2 linked regions of the Drosophila melanogaster genome follow. The protein of the gene in region 2 interacts with the protein of the main gene of each other region in a pairwise test. Each region holds a gene or a part of one and is shown on either strand. Other genes may lie near its edges.

Evidence for each region. Proteins that work in one complex are often made in the same cells at the same time.
Region 1: the proteins of Pp1alpha-96A (region 2) and NiPp1 interact in a two-hybrid assay, tested with the Drosophila melanogaster proteins (3 studies listed by BioGRID).

What each region holds. Positions count from the first base shown.
Region 1 is NT_033778.4:17,003,063-17,006,743, reverse strand, and holds NiPp1 (nuclear inhibitor of protein phosphatase 1), read left to right. Parts: upstream 1-1,594; 5' UTR 1,595-1,685; coding exon 1,686-1,714; intron 1,715-1,776; coding exon 1,777-1,991; intron 1,992-2,046; coding exon 2,047-2,261; intron 2,262-2,322; coding exon 2,323-2,893; intron 2,894-2,953; coding exon 2,954-3,075; 3' UTR 3,076-3,181; downstream 3,182-3,681. Other genes in the region: CG6805 (uncharacterized protein), read right to left, coding at 237-983; AsnRS-m (Asparaginyl-tRNA synthetase, mitochondrial), read right to left, coding at 3,206-3,681.
Region 2 is NT_033777.3:24,516,733-24,526,004, forward strand, and holds Pp1alpha-96A (protein phosphatase 1alpha at 96A), read left to right. Parts: upstream 1-1,537; 5' UTR 1,538-1,926; coding exon 1,927-1,975; intron 1,976-2,111; coding exon 2,112-2,460; intron 2,461-2,863; coding exon 2,864-3,149; exon of another isoform or gene 3,150-3,207; coding exon 3,208-3,355; intron 3,356-3,610; coding exon 3,611-3,762; 3' UTR 3,763-5,599; downstream 5,600-9,272. Other genes in the region: DZIP1, read left to right, coding at 1-588, 644-800, 859-1,305; CG13622 (uncharacterized protein), read right to left, coding at 5,858-6,700; Jhbp12 (juvenile hormone binding protein 12), read left to right, coding at 8,241-8,325.

The DNA of each region.
Region 1 (3,681 bases), on a different chromosome or scaffold from region 2:
GCGAATTAATTACATTCGACATATTGCCTCATAAATTAGTTGGATTTTGCTTTTCTCATGAAATCTGTGGAGCCGAATGAAGTGATTGATTGATGAAGTGATTGGCGGAAATTAAAAATTCAAGTGCAGATAAAATTAATTACACCCACCCCTATATACATTATTTAGATTAAGATTAGAAAGTTCAAGGCAAACTTTGACTGTAGAGATAATAAGATTGTATATTAGATTGTTACCTTAAAAGTGGGCGCAAAGTTGGGCTGCTGCTCCTCCAGCAAGCTGAAGGCGTTTCCCTTCTCCCGGAGCAGATTCAACTGGTCGAGCTTGAGCAGATCAGCGTATCGCTGGTTCTCCACATCCGTGCGGACATCCCAAGCGGACATATCGCCGGAGAGACGGAAGTTAAGATCGCCAAACCAAAAGACAAAGTCGTGATCGAATATCCGGCGATATCCCTGCGCATTGTACTTGTGATTGTCCACGATTTGGTGATAGTCTTCGATGCGCTCCTTCAGCTTCTCATCGTGCGCCGCCAGATGGGAGCAGACGAATGCGACGCCAGTTCCGTAGAGCGAAAGTCGAATGCTTACGGCACCCTTGTTGCCCCACAGCCCTCCAAGTCCCGTGCGCGTGGCTTCTGTCTCGATTTCTTTCATGTGCGGGATGTGCTTGTGCTGTGCGAACATGGTTATAAGAATTCCCTGCAGCTGCTTCGAGTCCACCTTTACGAACTGGTGATCGCTCAGAGAGTCCGCGATCTTCAGCACCCACGGATCGTCATTGAAGATTTTTAGCACCTGCGGTGTGGTGCTCACCTCCTGGAATCCGATTACATAGATATCGGGCAGCTGGTTATCCGGACAAGTGGTGGTGCCATTAAGGGACAAAAGGGAGCTCAGATCCTGATTTCGCGGCGTATGGGTGCCCACGTTCCAGGTCAAAAGGAAGATGCACAGATCCGCAATCGCCGTGGCCGTAACCATTTTTCCGCCGTCTAATTATCTATGATTAATACTTGTTGTTTTGGACGTCACAAGGTGGCTGTTGATGAGTTCATGGGCATCCAAAACAGGTTTACGGATTTGGCAGCATCAGCAAATAAAGCGAAAGGCGTTTTGCACACGCAACTTTCATTTATGTAACCGTTAATTCTTCAGCACTAATTTTTTAAGCCGCTTTAATTGGACTAGGAAGCGCTAGTTGCCCGTATTATTTATAGAATACTCAGATGTCGTTATTTATGTTTATTTGTCCGTCCGTTGCGTGAGCTTAGTGTGACCGCAGCACAACTATTTAAATATACCTTAGGCGGCGGCAAAAATTTTATGGTATCTCGATAGTAACGGAGCTCTGAAGCTCATCGAAAACATCGGCTAACATGAGCTTCTCATCTAATTTAGATTTTTATTTGAAACACATTAGATATTATAAAAGCCAAAAATCAATTTAAGAAATATAAAGATATAAGATTAAAAGTTGTACTGTGCGTAAGTTCCTTTAAAATAATAATACTCTTATTTCATTGTTTTTTTTTTTACGCGAGAATGCCCCTTTGCATTTGCTTGTGCTAAACCGATATTATCGGCAACTAGTCAATTGTGTGTACACACTGGCTAAGGATTTTTCATAAAAATAAACACTTTGTATAAACTTACCTTCCGAACTATTTTACTTAAGTTAAAAGTATGGCTAACAGCTACGACATACCCAGTTGGTGCGTTGTCAAATTCAGCCGCTGCCTTGCCACAAAATCACGTAGCATTTTATTTATTTTAGGGCTGGAAAACCGCCCACTGGCTTACATCTGGATGTGCTAAAGGACGACAAACTAGTACAAAAACTGATGGTGGATGAAAAAAGATGCTATCTATTTGGTCGCAACAGTCAAATGAACGACTTCTGCATAGACCATGCCTCTTGTTCGCGGGTCCACTCGGCGTTTGTCTACCACAAGCACCTCAACATAGCCTACCTCGTGGATCTGGGGTCCAGTAGGTACTAAGATATCTGGGATTCGGAGTAAGCTTATCCATTTACTTTTGACAGCTCATGGCACCTTTATTGGAACACTCAGATTGGAAGCGCACAAGCCCACACAGCTGCAGATTAATAGCACCTTCCACTTTGGGGCTTCTACCCGGAACTACATACTCAGGGAACGACCCTCTGGCCACCACAGCAACATCATGGAAGACCTGCCGCTCAGTGAAACCAGCGATGGAGCTCTCCTGGGCCTACCCGAAAGCCAAACGGAGCTTGATGTGCGTTTGGTTGAAAAGAAAAGCTAAATACTATGTAAACTAACCTTCCATTATCCTGCAGAATCTCACAGAATACAACACAGCCCACAATCGGCGCATCTCAATGCTGGGCATCGATGATGATACCAATATGCGAAAGCAAAACGCCTTGAAACAGGGACGGCGCACTCGAAATGTCACATTTAACGATGAGGAGATTGTCATCAATCCTGAGGATGTGGATCCTAATGTGGGACGCTTCAGGAACTTGGTACAAACCACTGTGGTGCCCGCCAAGAGGGCTCGCTGCGACGTCAATCATATGGGCATCCATTCGGGCAACAGCAGTTTGTCCAGTGCCAATGCCGCACATGTACACCAAATGTTCCAGCAGAGCCTAGTTGACATGAAGCAGCAGCATAGGGAAATGCCTCCGCCCAATGCGGTGCTCCACTCGCCTACTAATTCCCTATATCAAGGTCTACCGGCCGAAATGCATGGCAAGGGTGACCTAGAGCCCATCTCCCCGCTGAGCATTGGTTCCAAGTTGGGCCTATTGCTCCCGAATCCTGCGCCTGAAGTGCTGCCAGTCTATGACGAAGCTGTGGAGACCTCGACATTGGCTCAAAAGTTGGCCGTCGCTAATGCAAACGGTAATAGTTCTCGCGACTATTTGTTTAAAAACTTACTGATTGTTTATAACACCATTTTAGTTCGTCGCTTTGGTGAGGATCCGCATGACTCGAGTGGCGAAGGCGATTCGCTGTGCCCACAGAAAAAGAAATACGCCAAGGAAGCATGGCCAGGTCGCAAGCCCATGTTGGGGCAGCTGTAATTGCGTATTAACAAAATAATTAAGATTCCACCTACGATTTTCTCAAGCATATGATTGACAACACACTCTGGAGTAATATTTGTTTATTAGACTTTTAACGTAAAACAAAACATTTAATATCTTTATCTGATCACATCTTGCAGCTGTGTGGATACCTGGGGAAGGGTATCACATCACGAATGTTTTTAACGCCCGTGACAAGCTGCAAGTAACGCTCAAAGCCCATTCCAAATCCTCCAGTTGGAACTCCTCCATACTTTCGCAAGTCAACGTACCATTCCAGATCCTTCGGCAGATGCGGATGGGATTTTAATATAGCAGGATCGCTTTCACGCAGGCTCCCGCCGCATAATTCTCCAACAGCTGGCATCAGTAGGTCTAGGGCATGAACTCGATTGGGATTTGAACGCGAGACTTTCATGTAAAAAGGTTTCTGCTGAGCTGGCCAATCCACAACGAATACGGGAGCACCACAATGGGCCACTAAAAAAAGTTCTTGGTCCTTGGAGAATCCTTCGTTCAGGCTAATAGGAGTCTTAAGACTGTCCTTGTTTTCCTGCAGTACTTGCAGGGCTTCATCGTAGCTCATTATCTTCCACGGTACTT
Region 2 (9,272 bases):
GATTGGAAAGGTCAGCGCACACAGGCTGGAAGAGGTGGTCTATCACCTTGAGGAGGGCTACAAGGAGAAGCTAGGGGCACTGGAGCGAGAGCTCAAGCAGCTGAGTGTTCAAAAGGTGCAGCCAGAGCCTGTGCAGACTGTGCCAGTTGCCTCGAAAATACCCAAGCCGGTGGTTCGCAAGGAGGAAACCAACATTGATCGGATTCGCAAGCAGGTGGAGAGCGAGTTCCTCAAACAGAAACATGACGATGACACCTATTCCATTGAGGAGGCGCCACGAAAAGGTTCGGAGAAACCATTCCCACAGCTGGTGACCCAAGTTCAAGTGGTGGAAAAGGAGCAGCCAAGTGCTGGAAGTTCGGACAGCAATCCGACTTATACGAAATCTCCAAGGGAACCTGCTCCTAATAAGCAGGAAACGAAAGAAGCCACGGACGTAAGCGATAGTCTCAGCCAAGAAGAGACGGAGAACGAAGAGGAGCGCAGCCTGACAGAGGAGGAGGGGACCGATGTTCCCACCTCCGGGTCGGAAGCAGCACGAGAGGATCCAACGCCAAAAACAATCAAGCCTTCTGGAAGAATCATCAAGTGAGTGTTTCGATGTTAAGCTTTCTTAGAGTAATAATAATCCACATGTTTTAAGGAGCCCTCAAAAACCACTTACTCGCAAGGATGCCCGGAAGATGGTCAACCGGAAGTTGATGTCTCACGGCTTCGATATGAAGTCCAAAGGTATTTCGCATAACTCTTTGAAGAGAGTGAACTCCGAGCTGACAGAGCACCGCAACAAACTGAAACTGGTAAGCCTATAACTGCCAAAAACTAATGAACTTTTGACAATTCTGGAATACCCTTTAGCAACATCCACATTTTTACGCCACTCGAAATCGCATCCGCAAGTTTGTCGAAAAACTGTGCTCCGCCAAGTTCTCGGAACGCGCGGAAATGTTGCTGAAGCACAAGAGTCCACTCAAGCCAATGGAGGTTCCAGGCAAAGGGATCCCGAGGTCTGCGATCTCTGAAAAGTCTGAAGAGGATATAGCCAGCTCTCAAGGCGAAGAGCAGACGGATGAGCAAACGGATAGCAGCGAACAGCAAACTCGAAGCCCCAGTCCTCAAAGACTAGTTAGTCGCGATTTCAAGGCTCGTCTGGAGGAGATCCTGGTCAAGCCGGCGGCCACTATTCGAGGAGCTTCCAAGTCGTCCCTGAGTTCGAGGCCAGTTCCGCTGCCCAGGAAGCGGGTGATGTTCAACACCACGGAGGACGGGAAGAGCTTCAATGACAGCGATGATAACCTAAAATGAGTCAATAAAGATGATATTATAATACTTTGGGTATAAATGTCAACGATACGTTTAATAGCCAATATATCATAAGATAATTATATTCCTTTATGAGTACCTATCACCTGTTCAATGTACCGTACTTAACTAAAAAATATTGTTTTTTAAATGAATTTGCATATTCCGGTCACACTACCTTTTACCGATAGCTGCGCGCCGTGCAATGGATAGGCAATCGATAGGCAATCGACTCGCGCTGTAAACAATCGACGTCACTAACCAACGTAGATGAAAATTTTTTAGTACGTCGCGAGTAAAACGTGCATTAAATGCAATAAAAGGGCAGCTGGCTAAGGATCGGAACGATTGAAGTCAGCCAACCTCAGAGGGGTGAGCAACCGAGGCAGTGAATCCGCGAATCCGTGCATCCAGCTGACCAAAGGGCGAGATTAGCCCAGCACCGAGTTTCCATCCGCACACGGACACGGCGCACACACACACAGGCACACGCAGCCCGTGCCCATCGATGAAATAACATACATAACGAACGTATACCGAAAATACACGGGTTACGGGAAATAGCAGTTGCTGCAATCGGCGGATAAGCGAACTTCAGGAAGCTGAGCAAGCGGGCCCACAAAGATGTCGGATATCATGAACATCGACAGTATCATCTCGCGCCTGCTGGAGGGTAGGTGTTAGGGCTCCAACTTTTGATTACCTTGCCCCCACCCATCATCACCCATTCCCCACATGCCTTGCCACCCAACCACCGCCCACTCTCATCACCTTAACGTAAATTTTCCCTGCTTGGTTTTCCATTGCAGTGCGCGGTGCACGACCGGGAAAGAATGTTCAGCTATCAGAGAGCGAGATCCGCAGCCTGTGCCTCAAGTCCCGCGAGATATTCCTGTCGCAGCCCATACTCCTGGAGCTGGAGGCACCGCTGAAGATCTGCGGCGACATACACGGACAATATTATGACCTCTTGCGCCTGTTCGAATACGGCGGCTTTCCGCCCGAGTCAAACTACCTGTTCCTGGGCGACTATGTCGATCGCGGCAAGCAATCCCTGGAGACGATATGCCTGCTGCTGGCCTACAAGATCAAGTACGCGGAGAACTTCTTCTTGCTGCGCGGCAACCATGAGTGCGCCAGCATCAATCGCATCTACGGGTAAGTGGGGAGGCGGCTCCAAAAACAGGATGAAGCTTGATGAAATGGTTAGCAATCTGTTCAGTTCAGCACCGAAACAATTTGCTTTCCTGCTTAGATTACTGAAACTCATTTGATTACAATTTATATTATTCTTACGACTCGTATTTACTTCTGATGACTATGTACTTTTATACATGCTATAGAACTTATAGTTGTTTATTGTTTACGTGAGCTTTAAAAATTTCCCAGACATATTGATGTCTACTTATGCTTCCAAGCTTATTAATACTTTCTAGTTTATTGACGCACACAACGATATCCATTACAATTAAATTAGCCATACTTCAAATACATAAAGTAAATGCCACATTCTATAGCAATAATCCATAAAATTACTCAACTAATTGCACTTAATTGGCAGGTTCTATGACGAATGTAAACGTCGCTACACCATCAAGCTGTGGAAAACTTTCACGGACTGCTTCAACTGCCTGCCGGTGGCCGCCATCGTGGATGAGAAGATCTTCTGCTGCCACGGTGGCCTGAGTCCAGATCTGTCGTCCATGGAGCAGATACGACGCATCATGCGTCCCACAGACGTGCCCGATCAGGGACTGCTGTGCGATCTGCTGTGGTCGGATCCGGATAAGGATACCATGGGCTGGGGCGAGAATGATCGCGGCGTGAGCTTCACATTTGGAGCAGAGGTGGGTTCTTCGCATTACACTGTTCGCCACAATGTTGTTTATGCATTCGCTCTTGCAGGTTGTGGGTAAATTTTTACAGAAGCACGAATTTGACCTGATCTGTCGGGCTCATCAGGTAGTGGAGGACGGTTATGAGTTCTTCGCCAAACGTCAGCTGGTGACGCTCTTCTCGGCGCCCAACTACTGCGGGGAATTCGACAACGCGGGTAAGTGATCATTGTTCGGGGACTTTAGTCGGAGATAAACCTTGTTTATTTGGAGAACAACCACGTTGCACCCTTGTACTCGGTGATTTTGCCTGCCGATAAGCTGTCGGCAAGTGAAAGCTGGCAACCAGATTTAAATTCAACTCGGAAAATGCGCATTTAAAAATAATCAATAATCAATACCGAGAATGAAACTACCTATGCACGACACCCGCTTCTAATGAATTGATTAATCATTATTGATTACGTTTACAGGTGCCATGATGTCCGTGGACGACACATTGATGTGCTCCTTCCAGATATTGAAACCCGCCGACAAGCGACGATTTGTTTATCCCAACTTTGGCAGCTCAGGACGTCCTTTGACACCGCCACGCGGAGCTAACAATAAAAACAAGAAAAAATAAACACTGCACACCTCGAACGAAGCACAACAACAACAGCAACTACAAACGGCCACACACACAAAACACAAATAGGGAAAACAGAAAGGAGAATCCGTGTGTCCACATTCAACGGAAAGCGCAGAGAGTTTGTTTTTATCATAAACGTGTAATCGAATCGTGAGCAACGTTATATGGGGAATATGAATCTACACAAATTAGCCTATCTTTCATTTGAAAAGGAAAAAAAAACAAAAACAAATAAGGAAAACGAAACGAATGAAATGAAATTAAGAAACCAGAAAACACAAATCGAGACACTTTAGTTCAAACTAATGGTAGTGTAAGACACTGCATAAGCAAGAATATTTTATCTCCTAATGTATTAATTTTGTTATAATATTTCCTTGCGCAAAACCCACACACTCACACACACACACACACATACACATGCTCAGATCATCCGTACAGTAGGTACCATAAGTGCACGCACCGGTTGTATTTTAATTTGCATTTCCAACTCGCACAGCATTTTAATTATGTATGCCGATCCTGGCGGCACCTTTGGCAAAGGTCTTTAACCACACTTCCCTTCTTCCTTGTTTTTTTTTTTTGCGTATCTAAGGGAATATTAGCAAATGGTAACAATGTTAAATTTTATGTTAATTAAACTGTACGAGAATGCTTTTAAATGTGAGTTGAGGTTACTACATATTACATATGTATGTACTCGAAGCACGATTTATTTTTGTAATATTTGACATCGATACATGTTTACTTAGTTTTAAAACGAGGAAAGCAATTTTAGTTGCAAGCTACAAAAGCTTGAATTGTTTACACCAAAAATATTAAAATAAACAAATATTGTGAATATTTTTTAACTGTTTGCATTACACAAACACACACATACAGGCAAGCACGCACACACGATTTTAAGGAGAACCCTGAAAAGTATGTTTATATAGACAAAAATAAACCCGAATTGAAAATCTACCTTAAGGCGAACGCTTTTGAGCGGCACTGTGTGCTCTCTGCTGATGTCAGCGACGAGGCAGATAATGTTACCCCCTTTTAATCCCCCGCCCAGACGAAAGGAAAGCAGCGGCCCCAGACCCATTAAGTGCATGTGAAACTCACACGAAATATAGAAAAAAAAATCGAAACAAAAATAAGCAAGTAATAAAATATTTGTAAACAGCAGCGCAACAAACACAGACACAAACACTGTTTATCGTACAAGTGTACACTTTTGTGTATTTTGCATTCTACGACTAACGTCGCAACATTCTAGTGCTAAAGGCCGCCACATTCAATTACAAGTATTATGCCCAGGCAGGCAGGCAGCGATCCGGAGCGATGCAGCCGGACGCAAGTTACCCAAAATGGTTTCGTTTGTATAATCCAATCCAATCCAATCCCCGCCCGACAACCAAGCAACCTACTAACAACAATCGTGTAACCTACGGACAAAAAAAAAAAAACAAAACCAAAAGCAAAGCATGAGTCCTCTTCTATTTCACACTCTAGTACTCTGTTCAATGTTGTAATGAATTCAACGTATATTTACGACTATATATGTACTTGTAATAATGCGATCCAGTACGACATCGGCTGTTTTCAACCCCCAAAAAACACAAGTCATAAGAAATCTATAACGTAATATCGTAAAATTAAAGTGTAATTGACCCCAAGAAGGAAATTAGAAAAGACAGATGGGGTAAATTTATAATGCATTCAAAGCGTAAATTGCAAAAAAAATAAAATACAATAAAAAAATAACAAACAAAAAAATCATTTAAAAAAGAGCTAAAAAATGAAACAAAAAAATACAAATTAAACAAAATGAACACAATGACGAAGCACTTGTAACAAAATAGCACTGTTTTATTAAAAAAAAAATTGAAATACATACTAGCAATAAATATGAAATTCGAGATGTGTTTTTACTTGAGTGAAATGCATGTTAGTTTCTTGTTTAAAAAAGCAAATCTATTATTTATTGTCTATATAGTTGGTGTTACAATCTAAAGCATTTCGAGGACTTTAAAATCTTATTTATAACTTTACTTTATGTTGCTTAATATATTGCACTAAATTTACTTTGTATAGCACTTTGTGTTTAGTTATATCGCAGTGAGCAACTCTTTCCCAAAGGAGCACATGTGCCACCCGTGCCCCTGCCATGTCGCTCATCCTCCTGGAGCCTCAGCTGGAGCAACTTCTGCCTTAAGGCATAAGGTGTGGTGGTGGTGCTGCTGCTGCTGCTCCTCGTCACTTCCTGTTGCCTGCTCTCATTGGCGCGATCTTTGTTCCACTTGTCCGAGTTGTTGAAAATGATTTTATCATATGCCCGCTGCAGGCGCAGCTTATCCTGGCGGACATCACTGAAGCATTCGCTTGTGTTCATCAGGCGGAAGTGCTGCAGGGCCTTCAGTTGCTGCAGCTCATCGTTCGCCTGTTGTTTGGGATACTGAACTGGGCGTGGCGATGGCGTCGAGTTGCCACTGTAAACCTGACCCTGACCTTGGCTCCTCTGGCGACTGGCGACGCATGCGCTCTGCTCGTAAAGGCGACGATTGTCCGTGTACCTTTCATGATGGTTCGTGTTCGAGGTGTCAATACCTCCTGTTCGTTCCCAGCCCCATCGCAAAACCTTGGCCCTGCTCTGCTGACGTTGCTGGGAGGAGCTGCAGCTGCAGCTGGAGCAGTGACTCACCGTGGTGGCTGTGGAGTTCCGGCGACTGAAGTCATTGACCAACTCGGTGCTGGAGTGGCCTAGGCCAAATCTGGGCTGGTTCTTTACGCTCGGACGTTTTATAAATTGGGTGGGTCGTAGGCTTTGTCTGGAAGAAGAGGTCACCGACCTGAGATCGCCACGTGGATGATGATCTCGATTGAGCGCAAGATGTTGCGACTGCCGCTCACTTCCCGATCTCATTACGCCACAATAGCATTTGTGCATTTTGGAAACTATTGCGTCTAGATTTTCCGATGATTTCAGTGATAATTACTTATCTTTCAGATTATTCTATTCCCCAAACTGATTGCGTGCCCGATGAATGTTGAGAGACTACTGGCGACAACCGGTTTCCACACTTATGGTCTGGTACTTTATCACCAATCATCATACCATATGTATATACCGTTAGCCGGCTCAGCTAAGCACTCGCATATCGTTTGTTTATATTTGAACAACAATTGCAACAGTTTCCATAGACACATGTCGAGGTCCTTGGGCCGTTTATTTTTGGCCAAACACTTGCTGGCAGACTCATGTCCACACGCATACAAGTGGATGCCTAAGCCCAGTTGGACAAAAAAATGTGCTGGCCAAACGAAAGACTTAGGCAACAAACTTGAATTCGGTACCATGAGTTCAATCGTAGAATTACAATCAAAGAATAGTGTTGTAAATGATCAAAAGAGATTGATGGGATGAAGCAGAGCGAATTTAAAGAATCAAAAGCAAAAGGTATAATTTTTTTGATTTGATTTGATAGTTAATATATACATTGTGATTTGCATTGTTATTATACATTTTTAAAAAGGAATGAAAGTGAAAATCCTAAATATATAAACACATGCTTGCAACTAAGATTTCATCTTTGGATTTTTCTGAAAATTTTTGATTTCCCAATTACCTATTTTACGGACTTCCAGTTTTAATGATGCCCGTTAATCCAAATTGTGCATTTAATTTAGCGGTAGCCACCCATAAGATTAGCCAATTCGCTTAACCCAAAATTAGTTTTCCCATTTGTGCAAGAATTCGACTGTTGTGATTTCAGCACACCAAATGTTGCCAAATATTGACCCAATAAAAACTAGTTCCTGTGCACTTGTAGAATGTACGCTAAGTCCGCTCAAGTGTCCGGCTTAAGTGGTTCGATTTGACTTCCTCGAAGAGAGCGAAGCGTGAATATCGTATAAGCCATATATACCCCATATTATGGCCATAAATTATGTTGACAACCAGGTAAGGTTCAATGAACCGCATAGCGGGGGAAAATTAAATCGAAAGGGCAAACAACAGCAACGAACAGGGTTGCTGGGTGGCTCGGTCATTGGTCGTTGTCGTCACTTGTCTTCCACTTCCAGTGGTCATTGGTGGTTTGGCTATCTTGGCCTGGCCAAAAGCGGCGAGCCGGAAAGCAAAAGTGGTTCGCTCACTGGCTGGCTTAATGGGCCAAAGCTCGGCGCGATTGAAAATCGATGGGTTTTCGAGACTCGCAAAAGCTCTCCGACTTCCAACGTTCAGAAAGCCAACTTGAGGCGCCGTCGCCGCCGCTGAAGCTCGGTATAAAAAGACGATCGGCGGACGCATCCCGTGTACACAGTGATAAGTCTTCGGCCAGAACCACCTGTCACCTGAACCGAAAACGGAAGTCGCGCGCGCGTGTAGCCATCTCTTCGTGCCGAGTGTCAATTGAAATTTGGCTGTGGCTCTTGGTCAATCGATTTCGTACATCCGATCCGATTTCGTACATCCCCCCGGACGAAATATGTCAAAATACTCGCTACTACTAATGCTGCTGCTAATCGCTGCGGTTGCGCAGGAACTTACTGTAACGGCTGCGCAAGAATTGCGTAAGTACTGCACCCAAAAAAAAAAGAAAAAAATACAAATAAAAAACAAATAAATTAAGCAAATCGAACATCAACTATTGCGGCGAGTCAAAAGTGCAAAAAACTTATAGATCGTATTTGCTTTGGCGCTATGCTTCGGCTACATCTATTTGCTTGGCACCACATTTATGGTTAAAACGTGATCGATATGGCTTATGGCTCTTTAATTTCGTTTTTTTTCATTTGGGAACTCGCGTTTTGGCCTGCAGACCAGAAGGTCGATCTCTGTAAGATTCTCTAGTGGCGTTTATAGTTGCATGCAAATTTGGAGTGTTATTACAGCAAGTACAGTAAAAATCAGTAGAGTCACGCCGGCTTAGACTTAAGTACTGCTTCAAATTGGGATTCTGGGATTTACCTTATTTATATACTGGATTTTTTTTACATTCTATACTTTTTAAAATATGCATGGTCAATTTCAGTTTAAGAAAGCCTGACAATTTCCCAGAACTGGAACTAATATTTATGTTAACGTTGCTGTAGATCCATAGAAATTGTATTTTTAAGTGTTTTCATGTACATTTTAAATACTTTAGAATCATGAATAATTACTTTTCTTGGTTTCAACATTAATCAAAGCTAGATTTAACTTTGAATCCCAAAAGAAATCCAGCAAGACAAATATGAACAATTAAAAACAATTAGCGTGGGAATCACCGAAAAGCTAAATAAAATTATTTTCCATGAAACGATTAAAAATGCGATGGGCTATTTCCAAGATAATAGTTTTGGCAATTAAAAACGAGAATAATTGAGGGGAGATATAAAAAAAACAAGCGACCATAAGACTTTATGCGCTTCATTTGCGTGCTGCTAAATGGTCAAGATCAATTAAGATCGGTTTTTTTTGGCAGCATTAGAGGTTTCCAGCTACTGAAGTCCACTGTAAACGGCGGTTATGCAATTGA